Linked DNA regions of Oreochromis niloticus. The protein of the gene in region 2 purifies or fractionates together with the protein of the main gene of each other region. This does not show direct contact. Links are inferred from orthologs where the notes say so. Each region holds a gene or a part of one and is shown on either strand. Other genes may lie near its edges.

Region 1 (9,898 bases), on a different chromosome or scaffold from region 2:
CATATAGGAAAGCAAAACACATGCTTTTTGTTGTTAATTGCCAGCATAGAAGAAGAAACGTGAAAGAGGTCTGCAGACACAGCAGCGTATACACAAAGCAGCAAACCTGGATGAAACACTCTTTCTAAATATTCTTAGAAAGTGAAGAATACTTTTGTCTTTGAATGCACTCCATACCTTCAAGCAAAGACTGAAGCACCATTCACACAGTGAGGGGGTTCATTTCCAACACTGTTAGAGTTCTGATCCTCGGCTCGAACCACAGACACAACTCTATCATGTTAGTCGTGTTTTTAATGGGACGGCCCAAAATATAGTTTTTAATACAGCAGCAGAACTCATTACAGAACCCTGGCTGAATTGGTGTCCTCTCCAAGCACAGGGCACAAAATGGACTTTTTATGAAAATAATATAGGAAAGTATACAAACTGACTGAAACACCCACACAGTCGGGCTCCACTGCAGACTGCTGCACAGAATCAGCATGGTAATATTCCCTGAACAGCCATTGAAACGCGCAGCTCCCAGCTGTTGTTCTGTCCACTGTGTGGACATGGCTGACTGTCAGCAGGCTTAGCCAGCACTGCGCCTTGCATATGAAACAGGACATGGGCCTATATCCCCTGTGGGAGTTCACTTCCTCTGAGCCCCCACCACCACAGCCCCACGTCTCTCCTGAAACAAGCAGCTCCTTCAGCTGGAGGCCAGATATCCCAAGCAGCGGGGGTAGCAGGGTGGGGGCAGCAGAAAGGGAAGTGCTGGCTTCTGCACATTACAGATTTAAGAAGTGCCCTGACTTGGAAGGATATATTCAGACTCGACAGTTGTGCGTTCCAACCCTACGCAGGTTTGGTTTGAGCCTTTCCTCAGCCACACGTGGAAACAGCCTGCAGGAATATGCTGGTTGTCAGCACAACAACGCAGCATATGTGGAGCATCGACGCAAAATGGCCTCTGCTATTGTTCTGGCTGGTTTTTAGTGCACATCTGTCTCTGAACAAATCCCATCCCAGCACTTTAGGAGGAACCTGAAAGCTCCGCAGACACGCACGCTTCGCTCACGACCAGTTACAACAGTCGTGTAAACATGCTCACCACTCTGAGGAGGCGCACATCTGCAATATGAGACAGACCGATGAAGCAACAACAATAATAATAATAATGATACAGTAACCAAGAAGCCCGAGGAGGACCCTCTCCACGTAGGAAGGTGCCAAAACCCAAACAAACCAAAAAAGTCTGAGGTAAACTTTTTTCTAAGCCAAGCACGAGTCGAGCTTCAACTGCTCACCACCGTCCACCACAGCTACCCTCGCTCTTTAGTTCTCATATCTCTCTCAGCCAGGCAGATTGTGCAGAGCTGACGTCATCGTGAGGCCAAATTATAAAGTTAGTGTCACACTAAATCTGCAGCCACAAGCCTTATCTCCACATCCTCATGTGGAAACCCACTCATTATGTGTGCCAGCCAGAAAGGAGAAGCCTGGCATGGCAATCTGGGGCCGGCCTGCGCAGAAAATCCTTCCCCAAACTACGTGGAACGCTTTAATGCATTTGTGCTTTGCAGCCTGCACTGTGGCCTTGCATCCTATGAGATAAAAAAAGGAAAAATGAACTTCAAGTTCACACTTCTCCACAACTGGAGGCACGCTGCTAAATGTGAACAGCTTTTTTTACTCTGTGATTCACTCGTCTCTGGAGGAAGCTTTCAAAAGAGCGTCTGCAAGGAGGGAAGTGTGGCAATATCGCTTCCTGTGTCTGTCTGCTATGCGAGACTGCTGCTGACACTTTTCTATCAGTCTTACTAATATTCACTGAGCTGCCCTCCTTTGACAGCAGTGACGTGTTTCAAAGTAAGGCGCTGTGGCGACATCCTCCTCAAACATTTCCTCAGCTGTGCCCAAATGTGTTGAGAAAAAGGAGAGCAACAATATTTCTCAACCTGTGCGCAGTCCCTCAGATGCTCGGGGGCGGGGCTTGAATTAAAAAGCATTTCAAACAAGCCTTGAGCTTAACATTCGGGCGCCCCGTCAGCACTTGGAAAAACACAAGAGGCCCCTGAAAGTGGAGGTCCTTGAGGTGTGTCCACTCAAGTCTGAATGAAAGTGTGTGCCAAGAGTGTGTGTTCACCGTGCATGGTAGGACTCTGGCACTCTTCAGGACTTCAAGGGCCTCCCTGATCTCCCTTTCTTTGGCAGGTTTTTCTGAAAGAAGCCTCAGTGGAGGAGTGGAGGAAAGCTCTTGTAAACACTTGTGCTGTTGCTTTCTGAGCCTCATCAACAACTCCGCTCTGCTCTACAAGTCCACTGAGGAGAGGGAGAGTAGGCAAAAGGAGGAGCCCTGTCAGAGCTGGGTGGCTGCCCTGGTAGAGGGGGTTCTGATGTTTGCTGAATGCTTCCCTTTGTTGGGATCATGTTATGTTTCCACCACAATACTTCTAAACCCCGCTTCATCAGCTCCATTCATGTGTAACAGTTCATGCAAATGGGCTCACTAGCCTTTTTCCCCCCACAGCGGTGGGATTCTTTCTATCAGTCTGCAAACACCAAAGCTAACAGAGTCCTTCCACGCAGCTGTAAAGTAAGTTGGCTCAGAAAAAGCAAACCTGATGATTGAGGCTGGAGGTGTGTGACCACTGAAAGCATGCAGAACCTAAAACCTGATTACTGGGACTGTTCAAACAAGAACACAGGAGAACGTGGATAAGACTAGAGAGAGGGGAAATGACATCAGCACTGATTAAACCACAGACAAGTAAAATGACACATAAGACACCAGACCGGTCTGTCACACTAACAGTCAGGTCTATCTCGCCCACTGGAGATAGAGACAGTCACAGACAGCTTCTAGCCCACTGAACCACAGTGTTCTGAAGAAGGGACAACATTATCTCACAACTGTTGTTTACTATTTCCCATTGAGCCGTTTGTTGGGAAATGAGATTCTATTTACTGTACAGGCCAATAAAAAGCGACCCTTTAGGTGTTTGACGGTCAGATAATGGCTTTATTGCCACCAGAGGCATATTGTTGTCGCTGCTGGATGACGCCCAATTAGTAAGACCACAGCAGCAGCAGTGACCAGACACTGTCAGGCTCAGCATCCACTCTTGAAACGTGTTTGCTCGGGACATGTTTCAAGTTTGGTGGCCCACGCTCGTTTTAACGTTAAGGAGAAGGGTGGAAAATAACAAGCTGCAACAGTTAGAGCTCGGAGACCAGCTCACCTTGGATGATGCTTTCCTCTTGTACTTGTTGGCGAAGTCGAATTTCTCCTTAATCTCGTCCAGGAACAGCTCCAGGCGGGCCTTCTCCTCTTTCTCCGTGTAATCCTGGCCCAGGAGGATGTACGCCCTCCAGTTGGCCGAGTCGAAGCCCCAGTGGCAAGTCCTGTTCTCCTGCGCCTTGTGGCCGTGCACCACGAACTTGTGGGTCGGGTACATTAGTCTGCAGTCCATGCACTGGATGCACGCTGCGTTTGGGCTGGTGTACAGCTCCGGCACGAACAAGCCTTTGCACTTGCCGAAGCACTCGTGATAGACTTTGAAGCTCCTGTCGGTGAACTGCAGCTCCAGCGAGCCTCCGTTCATCTCCTTCTTGCAGCGCGGCGGGTAAGCGCCTCCGTAGATCAGGGCGTTGCAGAGCCGCTCTGCGTCCGTCTTGGTGATGAGACCGCAGGACGGCGCCGAGAAGGGCAGGATCCCCATGACTTTAAGGATTTCCAGCTGGTCGGCCGTGCAGCGGGAGCAGTAGATGTGCAGCTCGTCGCACACGGAGTTGATCTGCTGCAGGGTAAAGTCCCGCAGCACCGTGTTGAGAATCTGCGGCAGACACAGCCGTTTCTCCCCGCCGACCACAAAGCAGGAGATGGTCTCCCCCTCCAGGACCGTCTCGCACCTCTCCGTGGAGCGGTCCGACGGGATGAAGAGCGGGCCGGGCATCACGGGCGGCGGCAGATGCTGCAGAACCGGCTCGGGCTCCTTCCCGTCCTTCTTAAAGAGCAGCTCATGTTGCCAGCGAGCAGAGAAAGCGGCCGGTCCACCCAACGAGCTCATAGAGCTGAGGTGAAACTGCTTGAGAGTTTGTTGCAGTCCCGGATGAGGCTGGAAGCTCGGCCGACTTACAGTCTCCATGCTTTTCCTGCAACTTTAGATGCGTAAATCCTTCCTACGGTCGACCGGGAATCACAACCAGCTAGGCGTCCTTCAACCTGGTAAATCCACCGTGTCCCAAAGCTGATCAGATGTGCGAAACGCCTCATCAACCATCCAGGAAAAAAGTCCCAGCTGCGGTTTTATTCCCGTGTGTGAGTCAACACCGACCAGTCGCTCCCTGTAACAGTGCGCCGACTGTCCATATTTGAAAAAACGGCTTCCAAACTCCACCGAGGCGAAAAGTTCCGTTTGTCAGGCGTGAAAACGAAATGTAAAAATCCTTATTTGAGGTTCTTTCCGCTGTCGAGGACGAAACATCCACCCCGTCTGCCCCCGCAGTTCACTCTGACTGCGCGGAGAGAAGTCTGAAGAGCCAGCCCGCTCGCGAGAGCTCTCTCTCCCCCTGTCTGAGTGCGCGTGTCTCTCTCTCTCTCTCCCTCGCGCTCGGTCTAGGTCTCTCTGTCGCGCGCTCACTCACACGCCCCCTCCCTTTGCGTTTGTGTCTGGCTCAGTCATTGAATCCCGGCCAGGAATGTGAGTGACTCTGCAGGCAGGCCGGGCTCTTCCAGGAACAAGCCGCCACCCCCCGCACGTACACGCGCGCACGTGCACACAGAAAAGAGAACAGCGAAGAAAAAGAAACGAACTGAGCAAAGCAAAGACAACGACGCATTCAGGCCGTGGAAGAAAAGGAGAATTTAGACTTTTTGCTACTTTTTCCAAGGCGTAGATGGGAAATGTGGGTTTTTTTACCACGTGGCACCCCAAGCTGTGTCTATACGATGCTTTAGCCTTTCATTCTAATATATAATTGACTGCATGGTTGGCTCTTAAAGGAGAGACTCTTCTTTTGATGAAGAAGCTTTATTTGTCACTTGCAGTTACCTGCAGCGAAACAGGACCTCTTCCGACCATACACACATTACACAAACGTCACATCGGGGAGACAGGTCAGAACAGGTAGCATAAAGAAAAACAATGAAACGTACAACACAATAGGCAGCGGAGGAGAGAAAAAGTACAATATTATTACATTTACTTTGTTATTTTGTACTCTGTTCCTTTATTATTACTATACACCTTTATTTGAATGATTTTATACTGCTAATAAAATGTTTGCATTTTAAAAATTATTATCATTAAGTTATTTAAAAACCAATGAACGATACCCTATTACTGCTGCTATATTATAATGTGGGTAAACATCTGGAGCACACAGTTTACACATTGGTGACCCATTTCTCCGCAACTTTTGTCTGCATTTCAACTCAACATGCAGTTTGTTTACAGCAGCGGTGCAGTAATCCATCGACGAAACCCCGACGGGAACGGAATTTTCACGCAAACTAGGAGTGCTCGTATTTACCACATTTCCCATGTACCCCGAAGCTAGCAGAAGAGCTGGGTGTCTATGTGAATCACTCGGTTCACGGCTGCTGTCAAGACAGAGAGAAAAAGTCGAAAGAGGATGGGTGGTGTTTTGCGAGACAAGACAAATTTAGCTTTGGAAGAGGAAACGCAAATTGCACGACTGACTGCGGTTTATTTATTTTCCCTTCTGCCTGAATGTGTTAAAACTGTTTGGCAAGAGGCGCCGAGTAAACAAGTTTCATGTGTTGGCGACCTTGAGAAACCATCCTGCTAATGAAATGGCTAGAGTCTTGTTTTTTTCCACAGACCAGCTATAATAAGTTGTTAGTGGACATTTGAACATGCACCTGCGCTCTCAGCATCATAATTGTTCGCTACCTTTAAACCTTCTCTCTTATTTGCTTTAAGTACCAGGTCGCCTAATATATCAGATCTGTGAATACCACTCATATAAATAGACAGAGGCTTTGTTTTCTCTGAACTTTGCTATAACAAGTGAAGAGGAGAAAAATAAATGGCTGATTCAAACATACAAGCTCAACCTCAGGGGGTCCGAGTCGAAGTTCAACTCCAGTACGAGTTTGCTGTTCCTGTGGCGTCCCCTAGCCACACAGTGTTGTAACTGCAACGTTATGGCAGGATCGGGGGTCAAGGATCTCCCACTGCTGACCACAAACAAGTCTGACGGGCAACTCTTGAGTTTGCATTTGTGAATGTCGAAACATGATTAAATATTTCTACTGCAGCATTTTATCATTTAGTCACCAAAAACTCTATAGGACTGAATTTATTTATTCATTAATTAGTTACTAATCATACTAATAGAAAAGTATCTTTATCCCACCTGTAACAATAAAAGAACATATTTAAATCACAGTAGTTCTCAGTATTTGTAGAACTGCAGAGTAACTACTCAGTTATATGAACCCCAAAGAGTTTGTGGTTCTGACTATCAGTGCGCTGTCTGCAGCAAGACAGAACATGAGATTTATGACTGAACAGTAGTACAATCTGTGCTCTTTGACTGTATGTGTTACACACAGCCCCAACAGTGACTGATTACTGATTACGTGTAAAGTTTTTAAATAACCTTTATACAGTGTGCAGCCAGTGGTCCCTGAGGTGTTGGAGGCACAGGTCTGGGCTCCAGCCCTGTCGTGGCAGCATGACACCATCCTCTCAGCCAGCATACAGCTGTGGCACCTATACTGGCACACTGTGTTTACTGGCTGTGTGTGGATTTTGTCTTCTCTCTCCCACAGTTTCAAGTGAGATACAAAGCGTGTGTTTCCTTTAGGCTTCTCATTCTATCAAGGCCAAAGCTGTTAGACAGTGCAGAGTGTGTGCCAACCCTCATTTTCAATGATTCATGTTCTTACCAAGCAGTGCTTGTCCTCCTGCCCCCCCCCCCCCCCCGCCCCCAAACATCCAGCGAGCTCATCTGTGATTATCATTTACTCATATGTGGTTAGTGAGGTAAGTTCAAATTTAGACCTTCAGTGTCACAACAGTGGGTCGCTTCTTATCAGGGTACATCACCATGGTAACTTGTGCTATACACTAGCATGCTCTGCAGTAGGTTATTTTTGACAGAGCTGAGACAGTGCTTAGAGCTAATGCTTAAAATCTTTCCTCCCAGGACTACTCCAGAAAACCCCAAAGAACGACAGCAGCTTTTCCTCACACGGGCATGGCTGCAATTCCATGTCCATGTGTTTGGAACGTAGCCATAACCAATTGCAAAGGTTTCCTCCAGAGAAAAGAGAGTCTGGACGACCAGTGGTGAGATGGAGCAGATCTGTGGTACAGTGGATATAATGTTACAGTGAATGTTCGAGTAATATGGAACCAGGTTTCAAATAATGGGGTAAGAAAAAAAACATGTTAGTGTACATTTTAAAACATACAGACACACAATCAGCTATAACAACAGACACTGGTTCCAACATGCACACATGCATGCATGCATTGTTGCAAACTATGGCCAAAAATAAAGGGGAGAAGATTAAAGAAAGCCTAACCCATAAAATCCTCCAGTCATTCCATTAGCAGCCTTGCTGCTGTGTCCTGCATCAGCTGGAGACGAGCTATGGAGACGAGCTATGGAGGACTGAGAGATGCATGTGAAAAATCAATTGCAATAAGAGAGAATTCAGCTGTGAGGATCTTCTCCTGTGGAACCAGCTTCCAGTTTGGATTGTGGAGGCAGACATGTCTCTAATTTAAGGATTAGGCTTAAAGCTGTCCTTTTTGATACAGCATACACCTCATAGACTCTGAACCATCTCTTGGTTATGTTATTAGAGTCTGAGGCTGTTGGGGGAACTTCCCACAATGAATCGAGCAATTCGGTTTCTGTTCCACTCTTTCACTCCTCACGGTTATAGCGCCATCAAAAAGTATCTGCATCCTTTGTCATTTCTTAGTTTTCTGCATATTTGTTGCATAACCAGCAGTTGGGCCACGGAAGTAGATCGCGGAGGGAAAAAGAGCAGAGACCATGCAGTCCAGTTTAATATATGAATATATTTATCTAAATTAATATTAATGGTCCTGGGTCTGTTACCCTGTGTTACTGATTCTCTTTTCTGATCCTTCCAGTTTGTGTATTATTACATAGCTTGTTTCTTAAGTTTCCTTTTCAGGTATTAAAACTTTGGTTTTATCTGTTTTGTAGGTTACATTTGTTGTTTATAGTCACCCTGTCAGTTTGTAATCTGGTTATGTTCATGGTTGTAGTTTGTTGTTATTTTTGTTTTTCCTGCCTTCCCTGTTTTTAATTAAGTCTCCATCTCTCTGTTATTGTTGCTTGTTTATTACCTTCCATATTATTTTGATAGTCACGTGTTCCTGTGCTTTGTATTCAGTTTATTTCCATGTTTCATTTCATTAGTTACAACTGTATCATGTCCAATTCCCCTGATTGCCTCATTCGTGTGTGTTAGGTCTCGGTTTGTCTCCGTCCTTTGTTGGGTCGCGCTGTTTGTTCGCTGTGGTTCTTCCTGTCTGTGTCTTCTGGTTTGAGTTTGTCGGACTTTCCATTTATCTAAATAAAGGTTTGTGTTTTTGTTTTTTTAACTCTGCAAACCAGTCTGTATCTGGGTCCACATCTGCACTCTACATCAAATCAAATCAAATCACTTTTATTGTCATGTCACATGTGCAGGTACACTGGTACAGTACATGCGAGTGAAATTCTTGTGTGCGAGCTTCTCAAGCAACAGAGTTGTGCAAAAATACAATAACGTAAAACAAGCAAAAATATAAGAATGGCTAAATCTGAAAGTAATAAATATATGTACAATAAGAGTATATGCATTATTGGATGTGTATACTAAATATGTTTTTCTACGTGTGTGTGTGTGTGTGTGTGTGTGTGTGTGTGTGTGTGTGTGTGTGTGTGTGTGTGTGTGTGTGTGAGTGAGTGAGTGTGTATATACATATTTTACAAATGAAATAGAGTAAACAATAAAATAAGATATATAAAATGTACAGAGGTTGGTATGTGCAAAACAGTGGCATTAATGTACAGTGTGGAGTGCATAATGTTGAAGTTCCAGTAGTGAAGGTGAGGTGTCTATGACGTGTTCAGCAGTCTGATGGCCTGGTGGAAAAAGCTGTCTCTCAGTCTGCTGGTACAGGACCGGATGCTGCAGAACCTCCTTCCTGATGGAAGTAGTCTGAAGAGTTTATGGCTGGGGTGACTGGAGTCCTTGATGATCCTCCCTGCTTTCCTCAGGCACCGCTTCCTGTAGATGTCCTGGAGGGAGGGAAGCTCACCTCCAATTATCCGTTCAGAGCACCGCACCACTCTCTGGAGAGCTTTGCGGTTGTAAGCGGTGCTGTTGCCATTCCAGGTGGTGATGCATCCAGTGAGGATGCTCTCAATGGCACAGCGATAGAAGGTCCTGAGGATGCGGGGGCTCATGCCAAATCTTTTCAGTCTCCTGAGAAAGAAGAGGCGCTGCTGCGCCTTCTTCACTGTTTTGTTTATGTGTACTGACCATGATACATACATGATACCACATCACTGGAGATGTTGCAACATCCATCAACCTCACAGCCCACTTTTTCCTCAAGGCCACAAGACACTTAAAACACATCCACTTGAGGCAGGCAATCCAGTCTTTCCTAGCGATGAACCCTAGTTTGAAATGTAGTAGTGACTCTGCCCCTATGGAACCTGAGGTTCGCTGCCCAGTGAAGCCAACAGGACCACATCATCTACTAAACGCAAGCCCAATACCCAGAACTGGATATTCTGTTAGCTAAGCCAAGAACTTGTATTCATATGATAAATCACAGACACTAGGCTGGCTCAGTGGCAACAAATCTAACTCATTGCTGGCAATGTGAACCAAGCCCTCACTAAG
Region 2 (10,350 bases):
AACAAACAAACAAAAAAACCCCACTAGATACAAAAACAGGTAAGAAACATTTAATGTAAGGTGCATAAAAGAGAAACAGTAGATGATTGTTCTGTACTGATGGTGTTTAAAAGCAGAAAAAAATCGTTTCTTAATTTGAGTAAACACTCATTCATGTTGAAACTAAAAAACAAAACAAAACAAAGTCTGAGAATATTTTCATTTGAATACTTTAATAATGAGCTGAGTAAAACCTGCAGACAGCTGTCAACATGTTATTTAATCACTCCTAGCAATGATTTATCATGTCGTCTTTTTAGGACTAAACTGTGTTTCCTTATTCCAACTCAAAAACACGTGACCACAGCTAGGCTGGAGCTAGACTTCCTGACTCCGAGAAGTGCAGGAATGCACGAACAAGTCTTCATTCTTAATATCCTTAACCAAATGCAGCATTTTTTTAATAGATTGTAAGACAATTGTACTTCTCTATTTTCAGTCTGCACGCAATCGTTCAAGCTAACCATTTTTGACATTTCACTGGCCAATCAACAACATGAACAAACAGTAATTCATCTAAAACAATACCTCACCGTGTAAATACACGACAATCTATTCATTGAACAAGTCATTTTGTTTTCTCATACAAATTAACACAGAATGACCCAAAGCTGCTGATTAAAGACAGTAAATAAATACCCATAGGCTGAGTCAAAGTAATGATGAGTCAACAGCCCTGATGTGTTTGCATTGTTGTGGATACCAAGAAAAGCATGACAAAAATCAAAAAAAGATCTGAAAGGGAGACAAATTCTCGTGTTTATTTCATGACTCTGAGACTGTATGAGTTATACTTGGGTGCACCAACGTGTATCTGCTAAGAGAAGGAGCCTCTTTCACTCTGGTGCCGTGGGAAAAATTTTCACAGTGGTTTTGAAGTCTCCCAGAACAACGACAAAGCCAGTCATTTATGAAATTTAAACCATTTTGCACATACAACAACAACAAAAAAAAAGCCATTTCCGTGACTCCACGTGTACGTTCTAAAAGCACATAGCAGTCAACAGTGCTCTTTGCACCAACATGGAATGTAAAAACTGAGAGGGCTGTGTTTCCAAACCGTCAAGAAAATCACAATGCCATTTAGTTATCAGTGAAACTGGAAACTGCTTTTAATGCAATCATCAATATCAAATCAAATCCAGAATTCAGTAGATGTAAAACGGAATACTTTCTTGCAACATATTACATAATAAATATATTGCATAGCTTGGCATTATTGGCAATCCTGGATGTGTAAACATATGGACTGCAAAGATATACATTAGAAATCTGTAATAGATAAGGCTTTAAAATTGTCATTAAAAAGGGCAGAAAACATTCTGTTTACATACTTCAGAATATGGGATCCTAGCCTGACCTATATATCCATGTATAAGCGGATACTGGCTTATTTAAGATACCATATAAGAATTCATGTTTTGGCATCAGAATTTTTCGTTTTACTGACTATAATGAAGAGAAGGATGTTTGGGGGTAATAGCAACATCGCATAGTTTTTCCAGCAGAACAGCTAAGCCTCAGAGATTATTGCAGCAAATGCAGTAGAGTAGCACCAGAATGGAGCCAAGCAGTGACTTTACAATAGGTTAGGTACTGAAGGGTTAATAATCAGCAATCCTATCACGTTCATTTTTCAGTAAAGCTGTAATACACTATATGTACCTCAACAGCTGCAAATATATTGAGAGAGAAATTTTAAACTTCCCAAATATTGGTATTAACACAATCAGTCTGGTTCTGTATAAAGTATTTTCAAGCACCATCCATCCATCCATTCGCTTCCGCTTATCCTTTTCAAGGTCGCGGGGGTGCTGGAGCCTATCCCAGCTGTCATAGGGCGAGAGGCGGGGTACACCCTGGACAGGTCGCCAGTCTGTCGCAGGGTCAACACACAGGACAGACAACCATTCACACTCACATTCACACCTAATGGCAATTTGGATTATCCAATTAACCTATCCCCACAAGCTGCATGTCTTTGGACGGTGGGAGGAAGCCGGAGTACCCGGAGGGAACCCACGCAAACACGGGAAGAACATGCAAACTCCACACAGAAAGACCCCGGCCTGACGGTGGAATTGAACTCTGGATCTTCTTGCTGTGCGGCAACAGTGCTAACCACCGTGCCACCGTGCTTTCAAGCACGAACAAAATATTTGATCATCTCTTAAAAGCAGATCAGTATTTTTCTGGCTAACTTTTTTCTGATTTAGGGCGCTTTATACCGTCAGTAAACCCAAAGTCAAATAGTCTGCACTGTATGCATGTAGTGATTTCACCTATAGCAACAAGCTGGTCGTACTTGTTGACCCGATGCAATCAGAAAACAAATTCATGATGCTACTATTTCAGAATGTAATTTGGGAACATATTGTACCAACTCTGTCTATGCAACCTGGAAGTACAAGTGATGTAACGCAACACAAAAATATGAAATCAGTGCTTTGCTAGTCCCTGTCCACATTGTGTGCTGGGAACACACAATTCACAACAACATGAATTTGATTTCAATTTCCTGCTTCAATCTGCTTTTAGAAAAATTGGAGCTAAAAGCTAAAATACCAAACATGAAGAACACTGCATGCATTTAGGACAGACACAAAGTCAGCTGACAGCAAAAGTAAATTGTTTCTCTTTAAGATACAAAATAGTGATTTTTAAAAAACCCCCAATAAAAATAACTACTACACAGTTCAACATGCTCCTGGCACTGTCTCAGTAAAATGCACTGCACTGCTTTGGTATGTACATTTGTGCATATAAGTGGTAGGTTACAGAGCATTTCCTGAGACAGAGAAAACCCAAATGCACAAGCGACGTCCATTAGCAGCATATTTCACAACAGCACCCTGGCTGTCACTTGACCTGAAGATGCAACTTCTGTCAAAGGGGATGCCAGGTTTTATGTCAGAGGAGGGTGATTTGCTCAAGTATTTAGCAAAACTGTGAAAAGCACACGCAACAATGGTCTTATATGCTTTTATATATATCTAACACATAAGTGAGAGTGCTTCAGATCTCACTGTAAAAGCTGCGCAATGACAAGCATGAATTCAGGGGCCTCAGAGGACAGCCCTGAAGGGAAAAAAAAATCCCAAAGGCTCAAAGCTGCACCATAATACTGCTGATTTCTAATGAAGGCGATAAGATCACGAAGAAAAGAGGTAGTTCTACCACGTTAACTGGTGCCTATCTATAGTAGAAAATACATGGGGGTGGGTGCAATCAGAAATGGCAACAGCAAACCAATTCAAGATGTACGACTGATTTAGTACTGCTGAGCTCTAACGATACCCACAGTGCTTTCTGACCACTAACAACTGATTAGGCAAGCAAAAACACAGCTACATAGATTTATTTAGGCTGGCAGTATCGAGCCTGAAGCTGGGGGCTAAGCATACTTTCTACAACGCTTAACAATTACAATAAGCCCAGCTGCTGTCTGCCTGCTTGCCCGTCTGTCTGTCTCTCTGTGTGTGTATGTCCCACAAACGGTGCCGAAGTGACTGAGGCTGGATAATGTCGCTTTATTAGGGAAGCACTCACACCAAAATATCAGCTACCAATATTACGATAACGAATCGAGAGAAACCAGAGTGGACAGCTAGCCGTTGCCTGATAAATATCCCAGACAGAAGACAACAAAGACAACACGTACCTGTGTCCAAGTCCTTTTTTCAAAATGTGTCACCGTCCTTTTTGCAACATGCGGGGTTGTATCCTGCAGGAAATAGTGACAAGTAGTGAAAACAGGTAGTTTTCTACGTGTTACCCGAACAGCAACTAGGCAGGCCTAGTACGCAGAAATCGCGACCCGGAGGATTGTAGCGGCCGGGATTGTGAAACTGGCAACACAGTCCCAAGCCGTGCCGAGAAGCAAAATCGAAGGCAGTGGGCCCCGGATGGCTACGAGCTAAGCTAACGCTAGCTCCACTTCACTCAGTAAATACTCGATTATAATCAGCCATTTTGGCTCGAAATGGAAACCCAGTCGACTCGAAAGAGACAATACGACCTCCGTGTTATTTCTCTATGTGACAAGATAAAAAAATCTCACTATTTGCCCTCGACGAAGTTCCCATTCCTGCCTTCCGAGGCATCCACTGTTGTTTACCCAGCAGGTCGTCTCTTGGCTGGCCGCTTCTACAATGCAGTCATTGCCCGTAATGCCGCATGGGGGCGCTGAACCCCCGCCATCTACTTTTACGACACTTTACGACAAGTTCTTTACTCTTGAAAAGTGTGGCTTAAAAAAAATAATAATAACAATATAAAATGGTCGTTACAGGCCAGACGGGAGAGTCTCTCTTTCTGTTGTTTCCTGCCAAAAAGAAAAGAGTAGAACACCGGTGTAGTTATAGGTGTTTAATCCTATTGCCGGAGTTAATGTAAGATTATGTAGCTTTATTCGAGCCTCTATTTCAAGTACTAGCACGCCCACTAGTGTCTACTAGTAGACATAGATTTGATATGAGCATAGATGGTAGATTTTTTTTAATAGTAAGTACTATTCTTTTACAAAAACAAAAACTAAACTAAACTAATATCGTCACATGCATCCAATGATGTAAAAGAAAAAGAACAACAAGAACAAGCTAGATCTTGACATAGTAATATGAAAAAGGAGTCACTTTGATTCTACGGTATTTTTTATTATCAGGACTTAATAAAATTAATCTGCCCCTTTGCAGGTCTAAAAATAGATAAATACAACCTCAGATCACTTAAAAAGCACGACATTACATTGTGCCCATTTATATAAGAAAAATTCAGCCAACATGCAGAAGCAGTGTGTGTGAAAAATACTAAGTCCATACTCACTGCTTTCATAGGAATTAAGAGAATATGAAGCAGCCAGTTTCTGCTAATCAAATGCACCTGAATAACTGATTATCAGCAAGTGTGAGCGCCTCAATAAAAGTAGAAGTTTTGTTGATCTGTGTCTTATGTTTCAGCAATCATAGCATGAACTTGTTTCAGACTTATAAGTTCATAAGTTGGTAAAATATTTTCAGCACCACACAAATTCATCCACCCATTTTCTTCTGCTTGTCCAAAGTGCCAGAAGATTAAGCACAGTGTACCACATGTTCTTTTCCCAAGCATTGTTCAACCTCCTCCTGTTCCAAGGTGCTCCCTGGTCTGCCGAGAAATATTATCTCTTCACAGATTTCTGGTTCTTTCCCTGAATTTCCTCACAGTTGGATGCACCTGGAAAACCTACAAAAAGATGGCTGACACACTTCAACTTTTCCCTTTTGACACAAAGTGGCTCTGCTCCACATTTCTTTGTCCAAGCTCATGAGCCCTTCTCCAAATCTGAGTATTACGACAAGAGACGTGGAAACCTAATTTCAAAATAAAGACCAACTTCGAGTGAATTTAGCTTCAGCATTAACAGACATGTTAAGTACACAATAACAAATATCATTTAGTCTTGTTCCACACTTTAGATCCAAATGACACACCCTTGTACTTTAGTAGGACCCTGTCAATATCAAGGCCATCTTCTTTTGGATTTCGAAGTAAAAGACCATTTCTGATGTGTGTGTATGGAAATGATGGCGTGAGTGTGTGTACATCAACGAACATCAACTTGATGTTTGCTAAAATGATAACTTATTAATTCATATATAAACAAGTTTTTTCTGTGAAAAAATAAAATCAACACCAGAGAGGGTTAAAACAATTTTATGAAAAAGTTAATTCCACACCAGCTACAAGAATAAAATATTAATAGTAAGACAGCAGGAATAAATAACAAACAGGAGAAATATATACAAAACGAGAAAACGGCACACATGAGAGAAGAGGTCACATGACAGCACAGCATTTTCTAACCACACTTTGAACTGAATAACAAAAAACATGTATTTATTCAACTTATAGACAATGAAAACAAACAGAAATCAGAGTGTAAAATTTAAAAACTTTTATTGATGTTAACTTTTTTTTAAAAAGTTATTAAAAAGAAAACCCCAACAGACAAACCCCTCTGAGCAAGCACTAGGCGACAGTGGGGAGGAAAAACTCCCTTTTAAGAGGGAGAAACCTCCGGCAGAACCAGGCTCAGTGAGGGGTGGCCATCTGCCGCGGCCGTTCCGAGGATTTTCTTAAGTATATAATTTAAAACTAGACAATTTAAAAATTCTCCAGAAACATTTTCAGTTGACATCACGATTTTTTCTATATTACATCAGCCTTGTTTTGTCTCCTGGTGAAACAAAACGGTCGGCCTATAGATGAGATGAGTTTCTTCGATAGTTTGGCTGCCTCCTTCATGTAAATTTCAGCAATCATATTGTCGATTGCTGGCTGATTTAATTCCAAGGCTAGCAGAACTAATCCTGCATTTTTAAACTCTTTGCACAGGACTTTGAAAATCCCCTTGTGGAAGTTTTTGAACTTGTCTAAGGGGATTCTATCAATTTCATCCTTGATTTTAGCCCAGATATTGTTGGTATGCCTGTTGTAGATGGCTGAAACCCTTTCCAGACTGATGACTTTGCCTGATTTTTTTACAGCACACTTAACAATTTCTTCCATACAGTTTTCTACCAAAGATCTGTATTTTTCTTCGTTTTGATACAATTCATCCTTTACTGCCAAAAGGTGGTTTTTGAATTGATTTTGCATGCTGGCTTCTTGTTGAGCAGAGGATTTCTTTGGGGTTACGTCATTTTCCAGAGAGGTTTCTGCTTTATCTATAGCCTGCATGGTGTCACGACGGCCTTTCTTGTCTATTGGAGTTCTGGGCTCATCAGTTTTTGGTTTTTTGTGTTTCCGATTGAAATTGAAATTGAAATTACAGTAGTTGAAGAATGAAAGATGTATATAACTGCTATTACTGATATTAGTGATATTAGTGAAACCACTGACATTTTGTACTCTGATGTTCACATCTGTCACATTGATGTGATTAATGTTGCCTGTCGACTGTAAGTGGTGACACTGTCTTAAATGTTAAAATCTCAAAGGACAGCATTACATTTTTGATATTAACAGTAACTCTGGACCTCTGTGGAGTGTGCAGCTGATCTCATCGCTGTCTAAAAATGGATAACAAAACCTAAGGAGTGCTGAATCCTTCAATAATACAGACTATTAGAGTAACAGGTGTGTAGTATCGCTAACTAGCTAGCAACAAGCCCCCAAAACATTGCGTATTCTAGCGGCTAATCTAGCAAACGAATTAACAACAGAGTGGTTTTAGATGTTGTAGAACTATAAGACATTAAGCTGTGTGTCTTTTTCATAACAGTGACGTGGTTGTATTTACCTTGATTGAACGAGTGTCAGTTGCGGTAAACCCATCAGCAAATAAACTGGAGCAGCTGGGCTACATAAAATGTGTAGGGGGGCGTGTTTGCGGTCACGTCCAGTGGGTGTGCAGGCGGGAGCATGACATAGTCGCTCCACCTCAAGTTACTACTGCGCAGACTCTGGCTCCAAAAATGCAAGATGGCATCCTCCACAAGCGGGATATTTTGGCTTCATTTTTGCACAATGGGAGGAGGTGCTGATGCGTTGTCCATGTTTTCTACAGTCATTGACACACACACACACACACACATACACAAAGACATGCGCCTGTCAGCTGCTGGTTTAAATAAACAAAAAAGTGACCCCGAAACAAATGCTTCTCAAGAGAAAACTACAAGTAGTATTCACAAAATTCTTTCACTGTGAGCGCCAGCAATGTCCAGTCTACAAAATTCTCAGTTTTCATGCCTGTGGAGCTTATTATATGGACGTGGTGACAGTGTAAAGACGGCCTGTACTTCTGATTTTCAGACGAATTTTGGGAGCCGTTTTAACATTGGACTCTATGGAAGAGTTGCAGAGAGGAGGCTGTGCATTGGTGACATTTATGAAAGAACCATTACATCTATTACAATACTAATAACATTGGATGAAAGAGGGCAATGATGCCTATGTTTTGGGGGTAAAATGATGGCTGTAGACTGAATGCTGTGGACACAGCAGCAGTTTAAAGAGAAGATTTTAAGAAAAATTTTTACCCTGCTCCCACTCTAGCAGTTGAACTGTCTCACTGTCAACATTCCATCCCATATGCACCCATTATAAACTCTGAAACGGGTGAAAAAAGCATGAAACTTAAACTAGAACTGAAGAAAAAGTATAAAAGTTATTAAAAAAGATAAACACAAGCTGAATAGTTCAATGTCTTGGCTTCATTTTAAAGTTTGAATGGTGTCTGTCGGTCAACATATGGGTAAGTAGTTGGAGTTGATAGAGGAGTAAGTTGAATGAGAATTTGAAGATTCTCCCATGGAAATACATTATAATTTTTGTTGAATAAAGTTGAATAATTTAAAAAATATAAAAAATATATAAAAAATATAAATATAAATATAAAAAAAATAAAAGTTAAAAATCCATCCATCCATTCGCTTATCCTTTTCAGGGTCACGGGGAGGCGCTGGAGCCTATCCCAGCTGTCATAGGGCGAGAGGCGGGGTACAGCCTGGACAGGTCGCCAGTCTGTCGCAGGGCTAACACACAACTATTCGCACTCATATTCACACCTATGGGCAATTAAGATTAATCAATTAACCTATCCCCACAAACTGCATGTCTTTGGACGGTGGGAGGAAGTCGGAGTACCCGGAGGGAACCCACGCAAACACGGGGAGAACATGCAAACTCCACACAGAAAGACCCCGGCCCGATGGTGGAATTGAACTCAGGACCTTCTTGCTGTGCTGCAACAGTGCTAACCCCGTGCCACTGTGCTGCCCTAGAAGTTAAAAATGAGAAAAAAATACAAGCACACGTGTCCAAAAGAAGAGGTGGTTGAATGGTTTTTCTAAGTTGAATAGTGTTGAAGGAGATAGCGTACAAAAAACTTACGGAAGATGAAAAGTAGAAGAACAATACTGTGGATGCTTAATCAGCATCCACACTAAATACCAACAAATTAAATGTATAGTAAAACAAAGATTTAAGACTAATCAAATTAAATTACAGACAACACCAAGTGTGGTACAATTCCTTAATCTCAAAACCCGTCCAGGAAGCAGTAGTCGGAGTATTTACACATATTACTTTCGATGACAGCATTCTCACTAATCTCCACATTACTGTTAGTTGCCACAGACGGCTGTGAAATCTGTTCCATCTTACAACTCATAGTGTTTCAAAAATGTTTTACCCCTTGGCTTAACATGAACTTATAGACACTCTTTAACATCAAACGTAATAAGCTCTGTCACTGCAGTCAAATCACCAAGATCAAGAACTTGTTTAAAATTTCAGAGCCAACAGAAGTTCCATCGTGTTTATTATTTTACTTCTCTGTGTCCAGTACTGAAGAAGATGGACCTGCAGGAGAAAGTCCTTACAAGCATTTTCAGTGCTTTACAACTTTAACACACCACCTGTCATAAAAACAAGACAAAAATATTTTAGCAATCTGTCAAAAATGCATTTAAATAACAATTACATTGCTATTAGGCAAATAAACTGAATTCACATATGGTCAGCAGACTGGGCTTCTCAGAAGTCATCAATTGATTTGTCATCTTCAGTAAAAAATGTATGTGCTTTGGTATTTTTTTTCTGAATGCTTGTGTAAAAAATGTCCAATTATTCACAGTGGACACATGATGAAAAAGAAATATTTGCACATCTGGATCACAAGACACTCATTAAACCGCCCACCCATATAGAACCCAGCGGCACTGGTTCAACTTGACACAAAGAAAGAGATGCTTTCATTTTTCTTATTTTAATTACAATAAACTGCAGTAAAAGAACAACTTCAGCAAGTGTGTTTATGAAAGAGGGAGAACGTACAGGTGACTGGGAAAATATTCTTTTAGGTTTAATAATGTCAAGGACCTGAGTCTGAGGGACCCAGGGTTCATGAGCAGTCTACTTATGTTTGATGGGGTGTGTGTGTATGGTGCTGCTGTCCCTTGTTTCCCGGTCTACTGATGTGTGTGTGTGTGTGTGTGTGTGTGTGTGTCCTGGTTTTCCTGGCACACCAGGAGCTACATAGCAGTGTGGCTGAGAGTTCCTCGACGCTGGATTGTTGCGTGAGACTTCCCGCAGTTCTCCAGCTAGTCGGTTTGTGAGTGGGAACTTGCCACAGTGAAGTTGATTGTACTAACGGTTGCCTGTTATTTCCCGGCAGGAGTACGGAAACGAGAGCGCAGCAGGCACGGAGTACACGGGCACTAGGGAGTGGACACACGGAGCACGGACTTTGGGAAGAAGACACGGCACGGGAGTCAGGGGCGTGCACGGGGATTTATTGTGTAATATTTACATCACTGTAAATAA

What was found.
Region 1: the proteins of rnf111 (region 2) and skia purify together in Homo sapiens (affinity purification with western blotting, with the first as the bait; 3 studies listed by BioGRID). This does not show direct contact. The link is inferred for Oreochromis niloticus from reciprocal best matches to the Homo sapiens genes RNF111 and SKI.

What each region holds. Positions count from the first base shown.
Region 1 is NC_031984.2:34,007,761-34,017,658, reverse strand, and holds the start of skia (v-ski avian sarcoma viral oncogene homolog a), read right to left. Parts: upstream 4,664-9,898; 5' UTR 4,134-4,663; coding exon 3,228-4,133; intron 1-3,227. UniProt on the Homo sapiens protein: May play a role in terminal differentiation of skeletal muscle cells but not in the determination of cells to the myogenic lineage. Functions as a repressor of TGF-beta signaling.
Region 2 is NC_031965.2:21,988,166-21,998,515, forward strand, and holds the start of rnf111 (E3 ubiquitin-protein ligase Arkadia), read right to left. Parts: upstream 4,253-10,350; 5' UTR 4,100-4,252; exon of another isoform or gene 3,764-4,099; 5' UTR 3,701-3,763; intron 1-3,700. UniProt on the Homo sapiens protein: E3 ubiquitin-protein ligase. Required for mesoderm patterning during embryonic development. Acts as an enhancer of the transcriptional responses of the SMAD2/SMAD3 effectors, which are activated downstream of BMP.